Danio rerio: one gene and its partners. The main gene of each other region encodes a partner of the protein of the gene in region 3 in a complex. Links are inferred from orthologs where the notes say so. Each region holds a gene or a part of one and is shown on either strand. Other genes may lie near its edges.

Region 1 (7,809 bases), on a different chromosome or scaffold from region 3:
CGGTTCTGGTCAAAAGGCACAGCACAATTCCACGCAAATCCTGTACAATTCAGTAGACAGCTGAAGTTGGTCCTGACTGCCGACATTATGCACTTCAAGGGCAACCAAAACTTTCTTGACAAGTTGCCAGACTGGTCGTACACGGTCACCATCGCTTGAATACGATACCATTTAATTTTAACCCTGAATGGCTTGCACTAAGTTGGCAAGACTTTACAGCTATTTAAAGATTTAAAACTAATTATTATTAGCCTCAAATCTAACGTGACAACTTATTACACTTATTTTTCAATGTTCATCGGTTAAACATGTATAGTGTTTTGGTTTTTCCTTTAGCGATTAGGATTGTGTGACTGTCCACTTTTGGCAGCTAGGGCTTTGACAATTTTGTTTAAATGTTTCATGCTAATGAAATGCTAATGTATTAATGTAAATTAATTTCGAATCAGTACTATAAAGCAAACTAGGGCTGCAACAACGAATTGATTAAAATTGATTACTAAAAGCGATGGCAACGAACTTCATAATAGATTCGCCATGTCGCATGACACAGAGACGTTTGATTATTAAAACAACTTTAGTCTGCTTCTCTCGCGCACTGATGCCAGAGTTCGGCGCCTCATAAACAGGATGGAGCAAAAAAACAGGAGGAGGTAACGTTAGAAGAAAGATACATGCAGAAGAAAAGAGCAACAACAGGATAAATCACTACAGAATTCTACTTTTCCATTTTGAAGTGAGGAACATGACATGAAAAATTCAAACTGAGCTTTGGTGCGTTGGTTGGCACTGAGCCAGAGAAAGACTTGTCATATTATCAAAATTACACACTGTTTTTAACCAGCCAATGCTTATTTTATGTTTTAGACTTGTAAATACACACAAGTACCAGTAAAATAATACATTTAAAGTTTGCAAAACACAAAAGAAAGTCTATGAAATTCTAACAATCCATTTAAATATAATTTGCTGATGTGTATCATTCATATCAGATACGCATAGTGAAAGTAACAATAAGGTTCTATCTATTCTTCTCCAAGCTGGCCAGGCACTTGCTTACATGCATTCTGGGAGTAACTGATGAATATACATGCTGAATCCTGCATGTTTTGCTTTTATGAATGAGACAAACGAGCGTTTAGATCACGGAATAAATCATGATCAAGACCATTTATATGTGCTATGAGCAAGCATGTAAATATTTCGTATTAAAACGGTAAAGCATAATAAAAGGGATACATCTGTCATACATTGTGGCTGTGGTGTGTCACATGACAAACATGAGTGAGTTAAACTTAAAGTCTTTTTAGATATTTGGATTGAAAACTTTTTATTTTATTATTATTATTATTATAACAGCTCAGAGATGTTCAAGGACAACATGTTTGTGCACTTTCTAAAGATTTTAGTTCTGTTTTTTAAAAAAAGGCTGGAAATGAATACTTTTCTTTTTTTTATCCGATTCATCAATTAATCTACAAAATCATTGACAGATTAATCTATTATTAAAATAATTGTTAGTTGCAGCCCTAAAGCAAACTATACGTGGGTCCAAAGTATAGAATTTTGTGCACAGTATCAAAAATACTAAAAAACTATTATTACTAAATTTCACACCAGGAAACCAAGGACACCAGTTGCCCTTACAAATAGACATCCATGCATTATACACACCCAGTTTTCAGTTTTGCGCGCCCGTCTCTCCAAACTCTTTTGAAGTCTCTCTCCTACACCACCAGGTTGTAGAAATTCGTCCATGAGCTTGCATGTGTGTGCCATCTCCTCCTCACTGATTAGTGGTTCGAGCAAGGCCAGATATCGAGAACATGTTTGCTTCAGTGGAGGAACGGGTAGCTTTGGCAGACTTTCTTGATGTAACAGCGACCGGTCAGAAATTTGGACAACTGGTATGGGACTCAGTAGACGGCAATGTTTCACCAGGCCCGTCCTTGCCTAAGAATGCAATTATTATAACAATTATAACTGAACCTGCAATAATCTTCATAAAAATAAAACAATGTATCAGGTTATTTTTAAAATACAGAAACCAATGTGTGTGTGTATTCCTAAATATGAATTTTCCTAAAATTAGCATTTTTTCCCTCAGGCTGTTTGTAGGTTTGTTCATTTAAATTTTATTTCTATGTATGTTATTTTAATCGCCTTTAAGTTACATAACTTTATCCAAAAAAAAAAAGAAAAAAAAAAAGCTAATTTTAGAAGTAGATCTCAGGCAGCACTTTGAGGCTTAATTTTGCATCTGAACTTTGCATGGGACCTTCCAACACAATTCAAATCTAAACTTGTAAGACTGATGGATGCATTATGTCGATCTGCCCCGCTGTCAAAAGTAGGATACATAGTGCCACTGTTCTTGACAACCTCCTTGACATTTTTTGTTGCTGATTTGTCCTCTAATTACGGACCATTTTAACATCTAATAATTCGTTTGTTATGTTTATTGGAACGTAACGTCACATAGTAATAAATAAAATGTCTCAGATTAAGTAAATATAAAGTAAAAACACAATAAATGCTATAGATGGGACGTTGCTGCTACCACTGGCGCATTTGGCAAGGCGTTCGCTTAACTGTTAAAGGCATTGCGTTTATTTAATGTCAGTAAGTTGTATGCTGTAATAAACGGCACTTACCGCTGTTCTGCTTAAGAGACACAGCATAATTCCACGCGAATCCTGTAGATTTCAGTTGACAGCTGAAGTGGGTGTCCCCGACATTATGAGCTTTCAAGGGCGACCAAAACTTTCTTGACAAGTTGCCAGACTAGTCGTACACTGTCGCCCTCGCTTGAATAAGATTGACAACTACAACTAACGTTACCGAGATACCAGTTAATTTTGACCCCGAATAGCTTGCACTGTGTTGACAAGTCTTACGACTGTTTAAAGATTTCAAGACTGTTCAGTAATTAATATACAGTTTTATTAGCCTATAATCTAGAGTGGTCTTTTATTTAGTGGTCAATCGGACTAAAAAAACAAAAAAAAAACATTGCCGTCTATCGGTCTGTGTGACCTGTTTGGACGTTCGCAACGTCATCACTAAGCGACTGTCAATACAACAACAGACTGCGTTCAAAATACTTTTCATAACTCATTGGAAATAACTTATAAAACGCCGTTTTTTAGTCAGACATACGATCTGTAAACTCTGTGAATGTTGCAGAACATTGACATCATATTTGACATAACTTCTCAGGTGGAGCTACTTTATGTGAAACTTTAAATAAAACGCTCTAGTGTTTTGCAGCGCAAAAGGTGTGAGGACGCTAACGTTACCAATAAAGGTTACTTTCGAAAGCATTAATGGCGTCTTTTTTCCTTTTGTTCAGCTGAAATTATTTAATTCTCATTAAATGTAATTTAGATTAACCAGGTTTTAATGTCGCTTGTTTTTAGAATATAATAAAACGTGTTCAGTGTCGACATGAAACATATATAAAATATACTGTTGTTTAGTACAATTTAGCCCATATTAATTAATTAGCAGGCTAACATGTACAATAAATGAAACTCCATAGAGGGTTTATGTACGTGTCCTTTAAAAAGTTTCAGGTTGCTGATCTACCTGTCGCGGACAAAATGCGTAACCGATTTGACGTTAGCTGTTTATCATGGAGGAATATGCCCGTGAACCCTGGTAAAGTACCTGCTGACTTCTGATGAGTCCGTCCGCGCTTCAGGTCACGACAGGACGTATATAATTTTAAGAAGTTTATGATTTCTATTTTCGCTTGGATCGTTTGCTTCTTTGCTGTCATTCTCTCTAAAGTACCCTGCTAAATACTATAACAATTTGTGTAGCTTTGATACATTTCTCGAATCACACACTGGATTGAATGCTTTAGCCTTTATTTATTTATTTATTTATTTATTTATTCAAAATCCTTAGGTCGTCTATCAGATGTATATATGAAAATGAACATACAGTGCCTAATGTTTAGCCGTATTGTAAATCTGTTGTGGGATAATGTATACGTTTTTGATGGAAGATATTTTAAATCACTTTTTTCTGCAAGGCATATGTCATATTGAACAGTGAAAAGTCCTGTTAATGTAAGACATTACTCCAGATATTAAACAATGACCGTGATTTGCATTTACTACAATGAAGAATACCTTTTCTTTTGTAAGTCCATTTTTTCTTTGTATTCTATAGTCTTCAAAAGGAATCATATAAATAATATGGTAGGCTAAATTTAATGCAATCCAAAGTTTTTTTTTTTAATTAACATAACAGACTACTTCAATAAAATGTTACTCAATTTCTCTGGAAAGATATCTAAATGATTAGTTTTATGATCAAATCTTTGTCATTTTTAAAACATCACCCAAAAGCAGTACATTGTGCATATAAGCAAGTAAACTTGTTGTTCACCTTGAAACATTAGTATCAATACCAAATGTATTTACCTAGTTAATTACCTAATAGAAATAATTTAATATTTCACCTTCAAGCAAGGGTTGCACAATTGTTTCAACATTGATATCATGTGCACACCTACAATACTCACATCGCAGGATGTTCAATGTTGAGCTGCGATTATAGTTGAGCAGGAGCTACAGTTCCGAGTACATGAGATTTGTGGGGTCACTGTTGACTTTAACCATGATTTAGTGAAAGTTTATAATTTGCATGTTTTTAAAGCAGTCACAAGAAATAGCACACTTTGTTTTTTATTCAGTACCTGAATACTGCTTGACAACCCAGAAAAACATAAAGCCATGTTTATTTCATTTTACTGTATTTATCTTCTTGTAAGTTGTTTGTTTTTGAATGCATAATTCACTCCCCTGTTGAATTATAAAACAATAGGGGAACAAATAGAACAAAATCAAAGTATTTTTAACTCATTTTTTAAAACATGATAAGGTTGTTTACACAAAATGCTGTATTGGACACATGAATGACTCATTAATGGACTCACTCAAGGATAATTTCCCCCAAAATGTCAATGCTGCAAAACAAACCAAAACTGTTAAACATATTTTTGGAATAACCTATTTTTTATGTTATCAGACAATTATTTTTATCTAAAGAAACTTTAAAGAACTTTTGAAAATTTTTTATTTTTTATCAAAAGTAAACCTTAAAAAAAGTTTCAGATTTTTTATTTTATGCATTATTTATTGCTTTTGATGTCTTTTATTTTTTAGAAACGTGATATTTATAAAATGTTGTCAATTTGATCTGGTTTTTGCCATGATATAGCCGGAGAAGCTGAAGTGACAATAAATTTAAATATAGTCCAGCCTAAATATAGTGCAGCCTATTCACTTGCATTGCACTAATTAATATAGTGCAGCCTACTTTTTATACACAAACACACACAAATGAAGTCAGAATTATTGGCCCCCTGTTACTTTTTCCCCAATTTTATTGACTTATTTCTAATGCCTGATTTATCTTTGCCATGATGCCAGTAAATAATATTTTACTAGATATTTTTGAAGACACTTTTGTACAGCTTAATGGGACATTTAAAGGCTTACTGTTAAACATAGTTTGTGAAAAAAATTAAAAGTAAAATAAAATTAAAAGGGTAACTAAAAATTCTGTGTTTCTGACTTCAACTGTGTGTGTGTGTAAATATATATATATATATATATATATATACATACATACATATATATATATATATATATATATATATATATATATATATACATATACATACACACACACACATATATACACACGCACACATACATATATATATATATATATATACATTTGCTTATATATATATATATATATATATATATATATATATATATATATATATATATATATATATATACATACATAAGCAAAGACCTTGGATTGTGTACAGTAATTGATGTTTCTCTTCAAAGTTATTTTAGATGATTTGAAGATTATTTCGGTAATTTTGAGTCTATTGAATTGATTAATTAAGGTACAGTATATAATGCAGTTGACTTCTAACAGGTAATTTTCTTTTTAGCCCATGGAGGATAGTTGATGACTGTGGGGGTGCTTTTACCATGGGAGCCATTGGAGGAGGGGTGTTTCAGACTGTCAAAGGATTTCGGAATGCACCTGTGGTATGTTTTACTGTCAAACAGACGACTCCGCTATTACCAAAACACAATGCAATGCATTTATTATAAAAGAAAAATACTGTATTTTTATAGGGTGTTCGACACAGGTTAAGAGGTAGCGCAAATGCAGTGAGAGTAAGGGCACCACAAATTGGAGGCGAGTATTCAGAATTTTTTTTTATTGTTTTGTTGTTTCTCTGTTTTTGTACTGCATATGACAATTAAAAATTTGTTTAGCAGTTATTCATTATAAATTACAGCGTGTGTGTGTGTGTGTGTGTGTGTGTGTGTGTTTGTAGGTAGTTTTGCTGTTTGGGGAGGACTGTTTTCAACCATAGACTGTGGTCTTGTGCGTTTGCGGGGTAAGGAAGACCCTTGGAACTCCATTACCAGTGGGGCAATGACCGGAGCTATACTAGCAGCACGTAGTAAGTTTAGCACAGTTATTATAACTCTGTTAGAATTTGAAGGTAATGACACATATAATGTTGTCAAGCAAACTTTCACTAGGACAATTCATGAGAGTGGTGTTTTAAAACTGACCAAACACTGCATTTAAGTTGGACATGCAAATTCATCTTGTTCACAAAGAGAAATCTGTTTGATTTGAAAATGAATTCTTTGTGAGGTGTGCTTTATGCATGAAAAACAATGGGCCCTATCATACACCCAGCGCAATAAGGTGCAAGACTTGTTTGCACCGACGTGTTGCTAATTTCAGATCAATGCAACTCTAGCATTAAGTAGCAAATCCATTTGTGCCACTTTGTGGACTCATAGGTGTTTCATTCTAGAAAAGAAGTGCGTTAAGGAGCTTTGTTGGCGTGTTGCTATTTTGAGGAACTAAATTAGACTGTAATTGACCAGCTAAAAGCAAGTCTAAAGTCCAGCGCAGAGCGCGTTTGTTGTGTGCCCCACTTACACATTGCTTGATACACGCAAGATGGAATACACAAATATCTTTACAAATGAAAGAATTAAAAGATTTAAATATTACAAAACTTATTATTTTCTACATAAATATAAAAAACACTGCCTCCATGTCTTCTTTATCTCAGGGGGCTTTTTTAGTTTAAGTTTTTGCTTTTGTAAAATGTTATTATTAGTAGTAGTATTACTTATTATATGATTATTTTTATCTGTTTTATTTTTTAAAAAAGCTTGGATTTGCCCACCCCTCAGGTTTTGGACCATATAGGGCATAGCACATTTGTTTGGATATAACTGACCACACTTCATTATTATTGCTTATTTATTCATTTTCTGGAAATTGAACTGAATTTGTAAATAGTTTTGAAACAAATCTTTGCGCTTAACAAACAAAATTAAATATTTTGACTCATACAACACCGTTTCCTTATCCACGAAATAGAGAAAGTGAAAGTAAAGGCCAATTATAGCAGGCTCATTCTTTATCCTTGCGCTGCAGATGGTCTGTTTAGCTGCTTTCTCGCGAGTGAAGCTTTCAGTTTTTCCACTTACAAAGTCCGCCATGTAAATAGCAAATGTGCCATGGGGTGATGCAACTGACTCTTAAAGGGAATGGGAGATGAGACTCTGATTGGTTTGTCCTCAAAACACACCCATTACTCATTAAGAAAATAAGCAAAACCCTGTAGTATTACTGTCGTAATAGTTCATCATTAATCTGCACTCTTTAAGCTACCTCTGGTTTATGAGTTTGCAAGATGGAAAATATTTGCATTACTTGCATGTTTGTATTTCA
Region 2 (7,953 bases), on a different chromosome or scaffold from region 3:
GGCATTGGAGCAGGTTCTTCTGCAAACTGTGGGCCTGTAGAGAAAGATGACAATTGTTTAGCAATTCAAGTACCTATTTGGGCTGTATGATATTGGAAAAACTGACATTATTTAATTTTTCTGTGATATGAATTTAATTTCACAAGCGGATTTAAATAACTCTATTTGAAAATAGTTTATAACTTAACATTGATTGGGAGTGCATCTGCATAAAATATAATAAACACATTACGGACATACAATAGAATGAAGATTTAAAAGAAATAAACCGTGCCTTATGGATTTCTGCACAGTTGAACAGTAATATGGTTCAGAAATTGAACAATCAAATGTAAAATAACACTGTGTAGTCAACATTTGAAGTAAATCAAAACCTTTTCTCAAAGTTGTCCTAAAACTATTCAACAATTTTCATTCTTTTTGTTGGACAATTTTGAAAAACTTCATTGATCCTCTTCAAATGTTTACTACTGTAGAAATAATGAAATACAATTAAACTATGTTGAAGCTACAAATGTAATAATTTCTAGTGCCCAAATGGTTTAAAAGAGCTTGGAATCATACACAGTCACAGGCCTTAAAAATTTCTAGTCTCTTAAGGTTAAACTTTGCATGAGCATGAACCGTGTTTCTTGTTAATTATAATACCAACTTGGCATTGCAGATATTGTAATGCAACTATTGTAGATTCACATATGGCAATATCAATGCTGGAACAATATATTGTGCATGCCTAAATTTGTATTTCAATTCGTCTCAGAGAATAATCTGCCACACTTACCAGTTGGGAATTGCGCTGAAGCAAACCTTGTGAGCAAAATTCCAGCACCTTCTATTAATGCGAGCAGTATTCCTCCCATTGCAGCAGAGCCAACCATGGCCACTGGTCCATCTGTGAAAAGACAGAAGATTAGAGGGGTGGTCCACTACGATATCATATTTTAAACTTTAGTTAATGTGTGACGTAGCTGTGTGAACATAAACAACATCTCTGAATGTAAAATGCTCAAAGTTCAATGCAAAGTGAGACTACAGCTGCATCTCAAATGGCACACTATACACTATGCACTTACACATTTAAAAGCATAGTATATGTATGTAGTGTTGTCCCAAATGGAACACCAATGTTTTTTTTTACTGAGCGGAAATTCCAACCCTTTCCCTAATGACGTTCGACGGTTGCTAAATCAGTGAAATAAATGACCAAACTATCAAATACCTGCAATGAGTATAACCGCATTCAACATCAGGAGGCGCTATAATCACTCTCGTGGGAAAATTTTGCTTTCACCACCCAAAAAAAATAAAGATATCCAACATGTGCGCCCGATAGCTCTGCCCCTTCCGCTACGTGAGCAAACCTGCGGTCATTAAGTGCGAAGTGTCCAATATTAGACACTTCATTTTACCGGCTAAATGAGTGCATTATTCGGGTAATTAAAGTGCACTTAACATTTTTCGAGTTTTCAGAGTAAACACACTACTTACACTATTTATACTACAAAATGGCGTAGAATAGTGCATAAGTATGCAATTTGGGACGCAGCTATTGGCTTAGGTGAACAAACCTACAGTGAACAAAGCTTGGGGACTACAAAAAAATACATCCGGGTTAATGATGTAATACACCCTTCAGTTTACGCACATACACCCCGCGCAGCGAAGGGGTGTGGCCAGAGGCACTGTAATGTTATAACAGAGATGATTCCTGGTGATGTGGAGCTGATCTGCGAATCACAGCACATTATGTTAGCTGACCAATCAGAGCTTCTTGAGGGCGGACCTTTTGGAGGAACTAGGAAATTTGAGTCTTTTTCATGTTAGCTGAGTAGCTGTATATAATCAAAGTAAGATGCATGAAAAAAACAATGTGATTTTTAAGCATGAGTAGACATTGCTTTGCACCCCATAAACACATCAAAGCCTTAAAAATACACCCCTTTAAAGTCCACATAAACCCAAAGCTGCGACCATTTTTTTCTTTGTTTTTTTGTATTATGACAGTTCCTAGAAGAAAAGAATATTAAATGAGAAAACTGTCACCGTGGCTTGTTTTTCTACTCCGAGTAGTAAGAAGAAAGATTGGGAAAAGGGTTTGAGGAGAGTTATTACAAGCTACAGACACCTTCTCACCATTTCTGTGTGTTGTTAATACTTTAGAAAAGATTAAAGACACCACAGCATTACCAGCTTTAGATCAGGATTTGACTCACTTCTTGCTGCTAAAATGGCTCCTGTCATGGCTCCACTTGTGATTGAGTTCCAAGGGTCTTCTTTGCCTCTCACTTTCACCAGCCCACAATCAATCATGGAGAACAGGCCACCCCATACAGCAAAGCTTCCTGATGTTCGAAGACAATTGAATGTCATGTGTTGTAAAAAAAAAAAAAAAAAAAAAAAACTGTATGGTCACTGAATGGATTTTTGAGCAAGCACAAAAAAGTGGGATGTAGATCATTATTCAATCTTTTAGACATACGAGACCACCAATTATTATCATCCTTGTCCAGGAGCTCTTCAGCATTAAGTTCAAAATATATTTCATAATTTAATTTAAAAAAAAAACATTGTCCAAAATGTTATGCACAGGCTGCACAAGCACATTAAATCATTTTTTGCTGTAATTGAAAAGGCTGTGCATATAAAACCAAACATATTTTGGGCTTAAAGGGATTTGTATAGGGTCTAAAATAAAGACCAAATTTACAATGTGAAATAATTATATTATAGATTTGATACATGTACTGTATTTACTAATTTATTTTAATTTATTTAAAACTTTCTAATATTAATTTTAAAGAAAATATTAAATGATCAAATGTTTATTTATATATTTATTTTAGATCCCTTTTAGATTATTTATTTGAATCTTATTTGATCCTGTTTTTGTGTGAATTAAACTTTTAAAAGAATTAATGCTTTGCTTTTTCTCCAGTCATTTTCACAGATCTTATGATATTAATTTGGTCACAGTTTAAAAAGCTGATGGCAAATAAACAAATTAATATGAAACGTGTTTTTAATAAAACCTTTTCAAACTTGTGTAATATACACAAACACAAATAGTTAAATCAGCTAATCAACAATACAATACAAAATAAAAAACCCAAACCTTATGAAAAGTATTGCATCACTCATGTGACAAATAACTTTAAACAAGATCATTACCTCCTAGTTGTGGAGCTCTGGTTCTTATGGCTGTCAAGCTACCCTTCATTCTGTGATTCATTCCCTAAAAAGATGAAAAACAAAAACAACATTCACCTTAACGCCAGGGACAATAACGTACAACCAAGCACTAATCATTTAGTTAAACAGCATTGCTTTAGTAGCAGCATCAAACATGACTCACAGAAGGAGAGTTTCTAAAGCCTTTAACTGCCTGAAAGATCCCTCCACCGATGGCCCCCATGGTGAAGGCGCCCCCACAGTCATCCACTATCCTCCAGGGACTGACAAACAACAGAGAGATGTCATGACATGTAGTGTTCATCTTTCCAACTAACAACTCTTGCAGTTCTTACAAAACAGTAAAATAGCATGATAAACGCATCACCAATGAAAATGTATTATGGTTGTGATAGAGGTAAAGTTGGTTTTATATTCGCAAATTCAGACTTTCCCCTTCATAATATGATTGTGATCGCTGCTCTAAAATATGTTCTTTTTAAATGTATGGGTGAAAAACAAAAACTTTTTCCCCCTTAAACGCAATATATAATTTTGTGAAAGATTTAAAATATTTTGGAGCAGTAAACATGTCAGGCTAAATAATTCAAATCAATCATTGACTTCTACTGTCTTCATTTGTTTTAAAAACTGCATCTTTGGATAGGTTTTCTGCTGGAGATACTGTTTTCCTAAAAAAAACAAAAGGTCAATAAAAACTCTTACACACACGTTAGGAACGGTATTATAGTAAATTTTGGCCTTGACTTTTCCAAACCGTAGTATATTTTGAAAAGGGTTATCGTCCCATGCCTAATTAGCAGCCAATGACTATCAAAGTACAACATTTTCAACAGTCAAATAAACAGTGTTAATGTTGTTTTCAAGTCATACCTGCAGTTTATTTCAGACCGAATATTTAAAGTGGCATGGTAAACAACATTGGGAGTGTGTCACAAGTTGTCACTGAACGAATGTGAGAATATAAAAATGACTTTACGTCTATATGGTTGTGGTACAAATAAAATGCATAACACATGATTTCTGTAGATAAACCATGCTAACTGTGAAATAACTATAGTTTTGCTACATTAACCATATCTTAGCCTTGGTATTTGCAGTAAATATTTATTATACAAATATTATCAATACAAATTTGCTTGAATAACAGGAAATTATTTAAAAAACAGTTTTTTTTTTTTTTATAAATAAGACATTTCATTAGTGTTTACTTTATACGTCCACCCTCATTTACTATGGTTTTCACTAAATAAGAAACTTTTTTGTAGTTAACATAGGGTAATGTGTGGTTATGTCATGGATAAAACAACGTTACAAAAACACGTCTTTTGGTATTATTCGTAGTAAAAACAAGTTTGTTAAAATAGTTTGCCTATTGCATATCTGATAAAACCAACAGTGATCAATAGGACCAAACAAGGTTATTACATTCTACATAGTTACTTCATAACTACATAGTTATTTACCGTAAGGCTACCCAGGTGATTTGCAGAAACCAGCAAGCATAACTGTAACGTATATTGTAATCTATATTCTGCGTTTAACAGTCGACGAATTTACACAACAGACATTTCTGGAAGACATTATACAAAAACAAAATCTAGTGATCTCTAAAGCCGGTAGAACAAGGTCATGTGCGGCACTGACAGCACGAAGCCTTCACTGAAGGGCATCGTGTTAAAAAACCTCCATCAAAACCACCATATCACAATATTGCGAGCGTCAGACACCCTGACAATTAATTACAGCGTAGAAATAACATACTACAGTATGACCGTTAGAGAAATAAAACCATATACATTCACTGAACGTATAAAATAATAGGTTTGAGGCTGTCGGCTCACCATGGCTCCCTCGCGTACTCCTCCATTTTGTTCTTTTCCCGTTCACAACTGACGTAACCAAGCACGTGCTGTTGCTGCAAGTGACGTAAGGTTCCTCGTGCGTTTTCTGCTGGTTCTTTCTGTGTGAACATTGCAAAGACGCCCCTCTAGTGGAGGAAGTTTTACAAACCAACAAACCATTCAAAGTCACAAAATGTGACTCAATTATATATTATCATTATCATATATCATCAGAGGTGCGCGACGTTGTCATTCGTTTGCCGGCAGCTGAGACTTGGGAGTATTCTAGTTTACGAGGACTCCTCTTTTCACTATGAACAACAAAGGTGAAAAAAGAGATCTTTGTGATCTTTTGCTCATGGTTTAAAGTTTTAAGAAAGATCACAAGTTACAATATTTAAAGTTGTACCTAATTAATTTAAGTGCTTTTTGAAAGTAATGTAACTGATGGTGTTTTTTTAATAACATTTCGAAATTTCTAATAAATGTTTTTAACTGCCAACACATAATCATAATGTAGCATTATTTTATTTTTTTACCTTGAAACCATTCTGATGGTAAGTACAAATTTAAAATCATAATATGAAATAGTTTTTATTTATTTATTTCATAATTAATGTTTTGAAATAATAGCTTTAATAAGAAACACTGTCATAACTGTTGGCTAGGCTATATAGGATGGTTGCACCATTTACCGGTACTATGGTAGTATCGTGACACTATGGCTCCAAAATACTGGCAATACCACTGTAGTTTGTATATGGTAGTATCGTCATTAATGGTCTATCTACAATAAATAATGTGTGTGGAAAAGTCACTAAATTGCTCACAAGTTTGTGCAACAATAGTCCATTTTATTAGAATAAAGCAGTCAAAGGTTGCAAAACTGTGTAAAATTTGCACCTTTTATGGTTTTTATGGTTTTACGATTTTTGACACTTCAGTTTAAACGCACATCTGAATCAGTTCATTTCTGTTCCTGTCAATATGATTTAGTAGCTACAACAAACACAACAATCTCTTAAAAACAACGACTCACAAAGTAAAAATTATAATTAGGCCTACTTTGGATTCTTACCTGATAAGGAAAAAATAAAAATAAAAAACAATAGATGAAAAACAAAAAGAGCAACAGGAAACATCGAAACCATTTTTGACCTCTTTTTATTGCCTAATTTGCTCTTTTTGTAATAAATTCTGTTCGGTATAATTTGTATCTTTATTTTAATGTATTATATTGATGTGCAAATACATTTTAGAATAATAAGAGAATTATGAATTCAATTCAAGTAGGCCTGTTATAACTTATAAAATAGCTTTTCTGATCATTTTCTTTATTTCATAAATTTGAGTTATGAATTACAGTATCGCAATACTACTTGGTATTACAATACTTAAGCTGGTAAAGTATTGTAATGTGAACTAGTGGTATTGCGACAACACTAATAGGAAATATATAGAACTAACTAACTACAGGAAACAAAACATTTATAGAATAGGCATGTTTCCTATTCTTTGTCCTAAACTGAACAAATTTAAACAAGAGAAAAAAATCGGAATATTTTCTAACTTCTTGAAGCTTTTTACAAAAAATATACAGATTTAACCAATTTAGTTGAATTTTACATTTTTCAGAAACTGTAATGGATAACAACAGTTACATTTTATTAAATTATGTAATGCCATTATAAATAACAAGTTACACCCCAACACTGCTCATTTTTATTCATTCGTTCATTTATTTTCTTGTCGTCTTAGTGCCTTCATTTATCCAGGGTTGCCACAGCGGAATGAACCCGCAACTTATCAAGCAAGTTTTTACGCAGCGGATGCCCTTCCTCTGGGAATCTCTGGGAAATGCTCATTTTTATGATGTTTATAATTAACATCTAATTATATCTGAAAAGTGTAAAATGTTATTAATAGCACTTCATCTTGCAAATTTATTTGATTCATTCATTCAATTTTCTTTATACCACCAACTCATCCAGCATATGTTTTACACAGCAGATTGCCCTTCCAGCTGCCTTTATTCACACACATACTCTATGGCCAATTTTATTTACCCAATTCACCTATAGCACAAGTGTTTGAACTGTGGGGGAAACCAGAGCACCCGAAGGAAACCCAAGCCAACACAGGGAGAACATGCAAACTCCACACAGAAACACCAACTGGCCCAGTCTTGTACCATTCTTGCTGTGAGGCCACAGTGCTAACCACTGAGCCACCGTGTCCAAATTGATTCTATTTGTATTTCTTTTATTAGAAAGCAATATTCAAGTTCATATCTTGCAAATAGATGTTGTCAAGTGGCAAGTGAATCAAAATGACCTGGCCCTAGTTTTTCCTAAACAGAAATATTTGGCTGGGTAATGGCTCTATGTTAAAGTCAAGAATCTCTCTTGCTCCTTGATGTTGCCTTGCTCTGAGTCCGACAGGCTGTTGGCTGTGTTTCCATTATTAGGAAGAGGGAAGGAATGATACGCAGACTGAGCCTGCATCGAGAAATGACCAAATATAGACATTTCAGCAGTGCTGAGGGTTAGTCCTGGCAATCAAAATATAAACTAGCTCGCTTTCAATCCAATCAACCTCCAGAGTTTGAAGGAGAAGTCATTTCTGAAAGAAAAAGTAGAAAGACCCCAGAGCAATTACTTCTAATCTATGCATTGAAAGAAGCATCTGTCATTCATCCCAAGAACATAATTCTACAATAAGACTTTGAAATTTGCGACCTGAAACCCGGTTCATTTATTATCTTACGTAACAAATGGTGGGCTCTTTTGTTACCCATGTTGTTCGTTTACTTTGGCTGTCCACCATAAGCTTCATGTATAGTTCTTTATTCTAGCAGTGACCAAATGAGCTAAGCAGAATTTCGTGACATTTCCAGGAATGCATTAGATCACTGGCTTTT
Region 3 (6,304 bases):
ATATTACATCATACCTCCTTTGATTCTGAATGAACAGTTCCTCGCAATCCTGGTTCAGATCCCTCAATGTAGAATTTCAGCCGCATGTACTTGAGTCCATCCTTCATGTACTCCAAATGACTAAAGAAAAAAAAAAACAAATATGTAATAATTGAGATATGAGATCTCACAGAAGAGTTTGAGTTTACTGATATTATGTATTTTACCTGACTTGTTGCCTTCTGCCACGTCTACTAGTTTCCCCAAAGCCTTTAATAGGCTCTCCAAAAGCTCCAATTACCTTAGCAAATATAGGTTAGCATAGAGTCACCATCAACATCGATTAAACGTATTTTATTTATTGTCAATACACATGTTGAGTATAGGGTAACGAAATGCAGTTAACATTTAACCAGAGTGCAAACATACTCAAGTTAAATGTGCATGCATCCGGAAAATATTCATAGCGCTTCACTTTTTCCAAATTTTTTTATGTTACAGCCTTATTCCAAAATGGATTGAATTCACTTATTTCCTCAAAATTCTACACTCAATACCCCATAATGACAATGTGCAAAAAAGAGTTTTTGAAATTGTTGCAAATTTATTAAAAGTAAAAAAACCTGAAAAATCACATAAACATAAGTATTCACAGCCTTTGTTCAATCCTTTTTTATGCACCTTTAGCAGCAATTACAGCCTCAAGTCTTTTTGAATATGACGCCACAAGCTTGGCACAGGTCTTTGGGATTTTTTGCCCATTCCTCTAGCACTACCTCTCAAGCTCTATCAAGTTAAAAAGGAAGAAACGGTGTACAGCCATTTTCAGATCTCTCCATAAGGTTCAATAGGATTTAAGTCTGGGCTCTGGCTGGACCACTCAAGAACATTCACAGAGTTGTTGTAAAGCCACTCCATATTTTGGCAGTGTGTTTTGGGTCATTACCCTGCTGGAAGATGAACCATTGCCCAAGTCTGAGGTCAAGAGCACTCTGAAGCAGGTTTTCATTCAGGATGTCTCTGTACATTGCTGCATTCATCTTTCCCTCTATCCTAACTATTCTTCCAGTTTCTGCGGCTGAAAAACATGGTATGGTATTAGCCTGGAGATGAGCAGTACATGGTTTTCTCCAAACGTAACGCATGGCATTCACTCCAAAGAGTTCAATTTATGTCTCATCAGACCAGAGAATTTTGTTTCTTATGCTCTGAGAGTCCTTCAGATGCCTTTTGGCAAATTCCAGATGGGCTTCCATCTGGCCAATCTACCATACACAGATCTACTTGCTACACAGATGGTTGTCCTTCTGTAAAGTTCTCCTCTCTCCACAGAAGAACGCTGAAGCTCAGACAGAGTGACTATCGGGTTACTGATCCCCTCCCTGACTAAGGCTCTTCCACCCGATCACTCAGCTTAGATGGCTGGCCAGCTCTAGGAAGAGTCCTGGTGATTCTAAACATCTTCTACTTACGCATGATGGAGGCCACTGTGCTCATTGGAACTTTCAGAGCAGCAGAATTTTTTTCTGCAACCCTCCCGAGTCTGGAGACAATCCTGTCTCTGAGGTCTACAAACAATTCCTTTGTCTTCATGCTTGGTTTGTGTTTTGACATGCACTGTCAACCCTGAGACCTTATATAGACAGGTGTATGCCTTTTCAAATTCAAATCATGCCCAATCAACTGAATTTACCACAGGTGAACTCCAATTAAGCTGCTGAAACACCTCATGAATGATCAGTGGAAACAGAATATACCTGAGCTCAATTTAGAGCTTTATGGCAAAGGCTGTCAATACTTATTTTCATGTGATTTTTCAGGTATTTTATTTTTAATACATTTTAAACAATTTCAAAAACTCTTTTTTTCACAGTGTCATTATGGGGTATTGTGTGTAGAATTGAGGAAATAAATAAATTTTATTCACTTCGGAATAAGGCTGTAAAAAAATGTGTGAAAAAGGAAAGCGCTATGAATACTTTCTGGATGCACTGTAATTTATAGGTTTACTTAATATAGACTGTGGAGAGGTAAGCATGATCGAACACCCAATAAAGGGGGAGAGCATGCTCAGAGCCCGGCGGCTAATCAGCAGGCCAATCAGAAATAATAAGCAACACCTGTTTATTCTAGTTTTTGGCCTGCTGATTAGCCGCCAGGCTCTGAGCATGCTCTCCCCCTTTATTGGGTGTTCTATCATGCTTACCTCTCAACATAGACATATTATAATGTTTAAATGAGGTAAAAGATGTACTGTATGCACACTACAGTAGAAAAACTATGAACATATGTTACAGATGAATATGATTAGCTCAATATGATTAGATCACAAGTTGTAGTCAACAGGCTGATTTATTCATGCATTTCAGACATTAGGTTTACACATATGTGATATATATAGCTAATGAATCACTGACCTCTGGATGAGATCTGCACCTCTCGAAAGCTTTTCCATAGATTTTGCTTGGGCTTGAAGAGGAAAAGAGTTCTTGAAAGACCACATACAGCAGGCCACCTAAAGCGATTAGAAAACATTAATCGGTTCACTTATTATACTGCTGAATAATATGTATATACAAATTAAAAAAAATATGCATAGAAATGATTATAACCTGCCTGCCTGCCTGAATTGCTAAAAGGTTCCACAGTTTTGCAAAGTGATGGCTTTATCATGTTATGACTATGGCTAGCTGTATTGACACAATATATATATATATATATATATATATATATATATATATATATATATATATATATATATATATATATATATATATATATATAGTAAAAAGTGCTATATAAATACATATGAATTTAACTGATTTGTATGATTATAATGTCTGTCTCATGTATTGTATTTGAGTCAGTGTTATCGTTAACAAAAAAAAAGACTTTGGAGCTGAAATGAAATATAAATACTTGTTTATTTATATGTTATATGGCGCAGTAGGAAGTGTTGTAGCCTCACAGCTAGAAGGTCGCTGGTTCGAACCTCGGCTCAGTTGGCGTTTCTTTGTGGAGTTTGCATGTTCTCCCTGCCTTTGTGTAGGTTTCCTCCGGGTGCTCTGGTTTCCCCCACAGTCCAAAGACATGCGGTACAGGTGAATTGGGTAGGCTAAATTGTCCGTAGTGTATGAGTGTGTGTGGATGTTTCCCAGAGATGGGTTGCGGCTGGAAGGGCATCCGCTGTGTAAAAACTTGCTGGATAAGTTGGCGGTTCATTCCGCTGTGGCGACCACAGATTAATAAAGGGACTAAGCCGACAAGAAAATTAATGAATGAGTTCAAAGTTGTTAAGATCACTATGTGCGTGGAAAAATATCATACACAAAATTACTAAAATCATTAAAAAAAAAAAAACTACTGAACAATAATAAACTATAATGAAGTAGTTGTTAATTTTAGTAATTTTGTTGCATTTTTATTAAATAGTATTTGGTTATTACATAATATATGTAAACAGATAATTTTGTCTTTAAGCAATACATTGCAAATTTCTTAACATGTTTAAACCATTGCAAGCATTACTAGAACGAATGACCATTTACTACATAGCCACATGTATGTTTTAGCATATTCATAACATATACTGTTATTAGCATGTTTTAATGCAAATGAGTTAGCATTTTGTCAGCATAACAAAAATGGTTAGCATTCCTAGAATGTCTAAACTCATGACCTGCATGTTGCTAAAATTAATTACTATGTTAGCAATAATGAACATTTTGCTGATACAAAATCCAAAGTGAATAAAATATAACTAATATCACTATTTAGACATCATCCTGTTATCATCATTAGGAAATGCATGTTGGTGCTTTCTGTTGGTTTTCTGGCACAGTAAGAACAGAGAATGGGGCCCTGAAACATAAGAGTCGTCAATCCAGACCTGGTTACCTGTTACACCGAGTCCAATGAGCACTACGATCAAATAGGTGAAATCTTTGCCAGCTTGTTTAACTGTTGAGGAAAGGAGACATTTATTTACTGAACAGCTACAATTCAATCTACAAGTAAATTTTTACAAATATTATTTTACTGCAATTTTGTAATGCCTATAAAATCACAATGGCTAGATTTATTTGTGATTTTGTTTTGTAACAATCCTCAACTAACAATGATGGGCAGTCCTTTTGTATTTTTTTTAATCAAAACTGTACTGTTTACTTCACTATCAGTACTTTATTAAAGTTTTTTTTTTTATTTTAGAAAATGTTTACTTTTAATTACCACTACTACTACATTTGAGTCCAAAACATTGTACCAAATCGTACCGAATTATTCATTTTTAAACTGGACCAATCTGATTGCATCTGTTATTGGGTCAACAAATTCTGATTCAAATAAACCATTTAGATTGAGCATTTAGTAATACATTAACTGCATTTACTAACTAATTATAAAAATGAGTCAATGTTTCCAACATTCTTCTTTTCTTCATTTCTTCTTCTTTTATGGAAAAAAAAGGTTAACTCATTTAGAACAAGTCTAAGTGAGTAAATCATGACATAATTTCAATTTTTGGAAGTACCCTTTAAAAATTGAACAAAGTTACAATAACAGAAAAATAATGTTTTTTTTGTTGTTTGTTTGTTTTTACTGCTGAAGTACATTACAGATATAAAATTGTCAGTTACATAGCATTCTTCATAAAATGTTAACACATTTCTCCCTGTTACACCTTTTGTATATTGTATGTTTACAATGTATTTGGGCTATTATCACTATAAAGTGCCTTTGATGTCTCACATGATTGAATCAGTCCTATATGAACTTAATGCGAAATAATGAACTTCTGATGTTTTAATATAATTGGTAAAACCTTTACACACAAGCGGGTAGAATTAGAAGTGTTTTGAAATATGTCTGTCAAATTTTCCAATATTCTTTTACTGAATGAATGTGATTTTTCCATGTCCCACACACTACACAGCCAACTTCAGTGAATCTAAAAAGTAGGTAAATTAGATAAAATTGAAAAGATTAAAAAAAAAAACAAGTTAAGTCTTAAACAAGTTATTTGTTAAAATATGTCATTTTGATAACGTTTATTTTGTTTTCATAACATTATTAACCATTTTGCATTGGTCCTTAAAATTGTTGTCCACTCCATCATAATGTAGTAAATGCTCGAATAAGAAACCCTCTACAGAGGAGGTTAAAACATCTGCTGTTCGGCCTGTCACAATAATCAATATATTGACTTATCGTACAACACACAGACATGTTTTCAATCATTTTTGGTGATGCAACATATATCGCCCATACATGAAAAACTATTCTAGTTCTAGCCACATTGTAGCTGATTACGTTTATAATCTGTCAGTGTTAGTATGGTTAAAAAAAACACTATAGTATTTACTATTAATTATTATAGTATTAGTATATAGTATTAATATTATTATTTATTTGTTTAGGATATACGTTTTCTATGAAATTACAATACCTAATTATTAAATTGTTAAAATGACTATAATTAAATATTCTTAAGAATAAAATATTGTGTTCTTTGGAGGGGTGTACTTGCATTACGATGCTATTATAGTGTCAAAATGGTCTTAAAATAATGATAATATTGTTTATCGCAATAACATTTGTTGCTATATATCAAACCACAAAAAATAGATACCATGACAGGCCTATCTGCTGTGCACACAGTAAGTATCTAAACTAACTTTCGTTTCCTATTTTTCCCCATATTGTGTTTGAAACTGAATATTGTCAAGCTTAACATTTCCACCATGTCACAGTGAAATATGAATGAATAAAATAATAATAAAAAAAATTAAAAATCTGAAAAAAAAAAAATTAAGCTTTTAAACTGTGTACAAAGAGCATATTTAGGAGGCACTTTATCAGCTGCAGGTAAAACATGTGTTGAAGAAATGCTATCTTTAGCCAAACAATGTCCTGTCACAAATCATTTTCTTTTTTTATTGACACTTTATTTATTTAATAAAATGTATTTTTTTAATGTATTTATTTATTGTTAATTAGTTAGTTTTATGTAACAACTCTTATACACACATACTTTACCAGCAATATCTTTCTCAGTCTATATAAAGGATATCCTTCTAAAGTCCATATAAAGGAGCTCATTGACTGTTTGAAATAAAAATACATACCAATATCCACCCTGTAATCTTGTTTACCACTGTCATGTTAAACTTTTATGAAAATAAATGTCCATTATTCTATAGTTAAGAAATCACATAGGATTTTTTTGCTAGGTTTATAAATAATTTGTTTAAGTTTGAAAGTTTAACAAAATATTTTAGATATTGGGTTTTATTTTGAAAAAGTGCTGGAGCTTGACCAACATTTA

What was found.
Region 1: timm21 (region 3) and timm17b share a complex: the UniProt entries of both Homo sapiens proteins name them as parts of the TIM23 complex. The link is inferred for Danio rerio from reciprocal best matches to the Homo sapiens genes TIMM21 and TIMM17B.
Region 2: timm21 (region 3) and timm17a share a complex: the UniProt entries of both Homo sapiens proteins name them as parts of the TIM23 complex. The link is inferred for Danio rerio from reciprocal best matches to the Homo sapiens genes TIMM21 and TIMM17A.

What each region holds. Positions count from the first base shown.
Region 1 is NC_133183.1:54,613,964-54,621,772, reverse strand, and holds the start of timm17b (mitochondrial import inner membrane translocase subunit Tim17-B), read left to right. Parts: upstream 1-3,612; 5' UTR 3,613-3,634; coding exon 3,635-3,660; exon of another isoform or gene 3,661-3,703; intron 3,704-5,986; coding exon 5,987-6,086; intron 6,087-6,176; coding exon 6,177-6,240; intron 6,241-6,382; coding exon 6,383-6,511; intron 6,512-7,809. Other genes in the region: zgc:154046 (Carnitine O-acetyltransferase-like), read right to left, coding at 1,675-1,953, 2,655-2,681. UniProt on the Homo sapiens protein: Essential component of the TIM23 complex, a complex that mediates the translocation of transit peptide-containing proteins across the mitochondrial inner membrane.
Region 2 is NC_133186.1:26,972,329-26,980,281, reverse strand, and holds the start of timm17a (mitochondrial import inner membrane translocase subunit Tim17-A), read right to left. Parts: upstream 5,064-7,953; 5' UTR 5,060-5,063; coding exon 5,034-5,059; intron 3,453-5,033; coding exon 3,353-3,452; intron 3,233-3,352; coding exon 3,169-3,232; intron 2,343-3,168; coding exon 2,214-2,342; intron 893-2,213; coding exon 782-892; intron 35-781; coding exon 1-34. UniProt on the Homo sapiens protein: Essential component of the TIM23 complex, a complex that mediates the translocation of transit peptide-containing proteins across the mitochondrial inner membrane.
Region 3 is NC_133199.1:17,613,242-17,619,545, reverse strand, and holds part of timm21 (mitochondrial import inner membrane translocase subunit Tim21), read right to left. Parts: intron 3,940-6,304; coding exon 3,877-3,939; intron 2,495-3,876; coding exon 2,397-2,494; intron 281-2,396; coding exon 207-280; intron 121-206; coding exon 15-120; intron 1-14. UniProt on the Homo sapiens protein: Participates in the translocation of transit peptide-containing proteins across the mitochondrial inner membrane.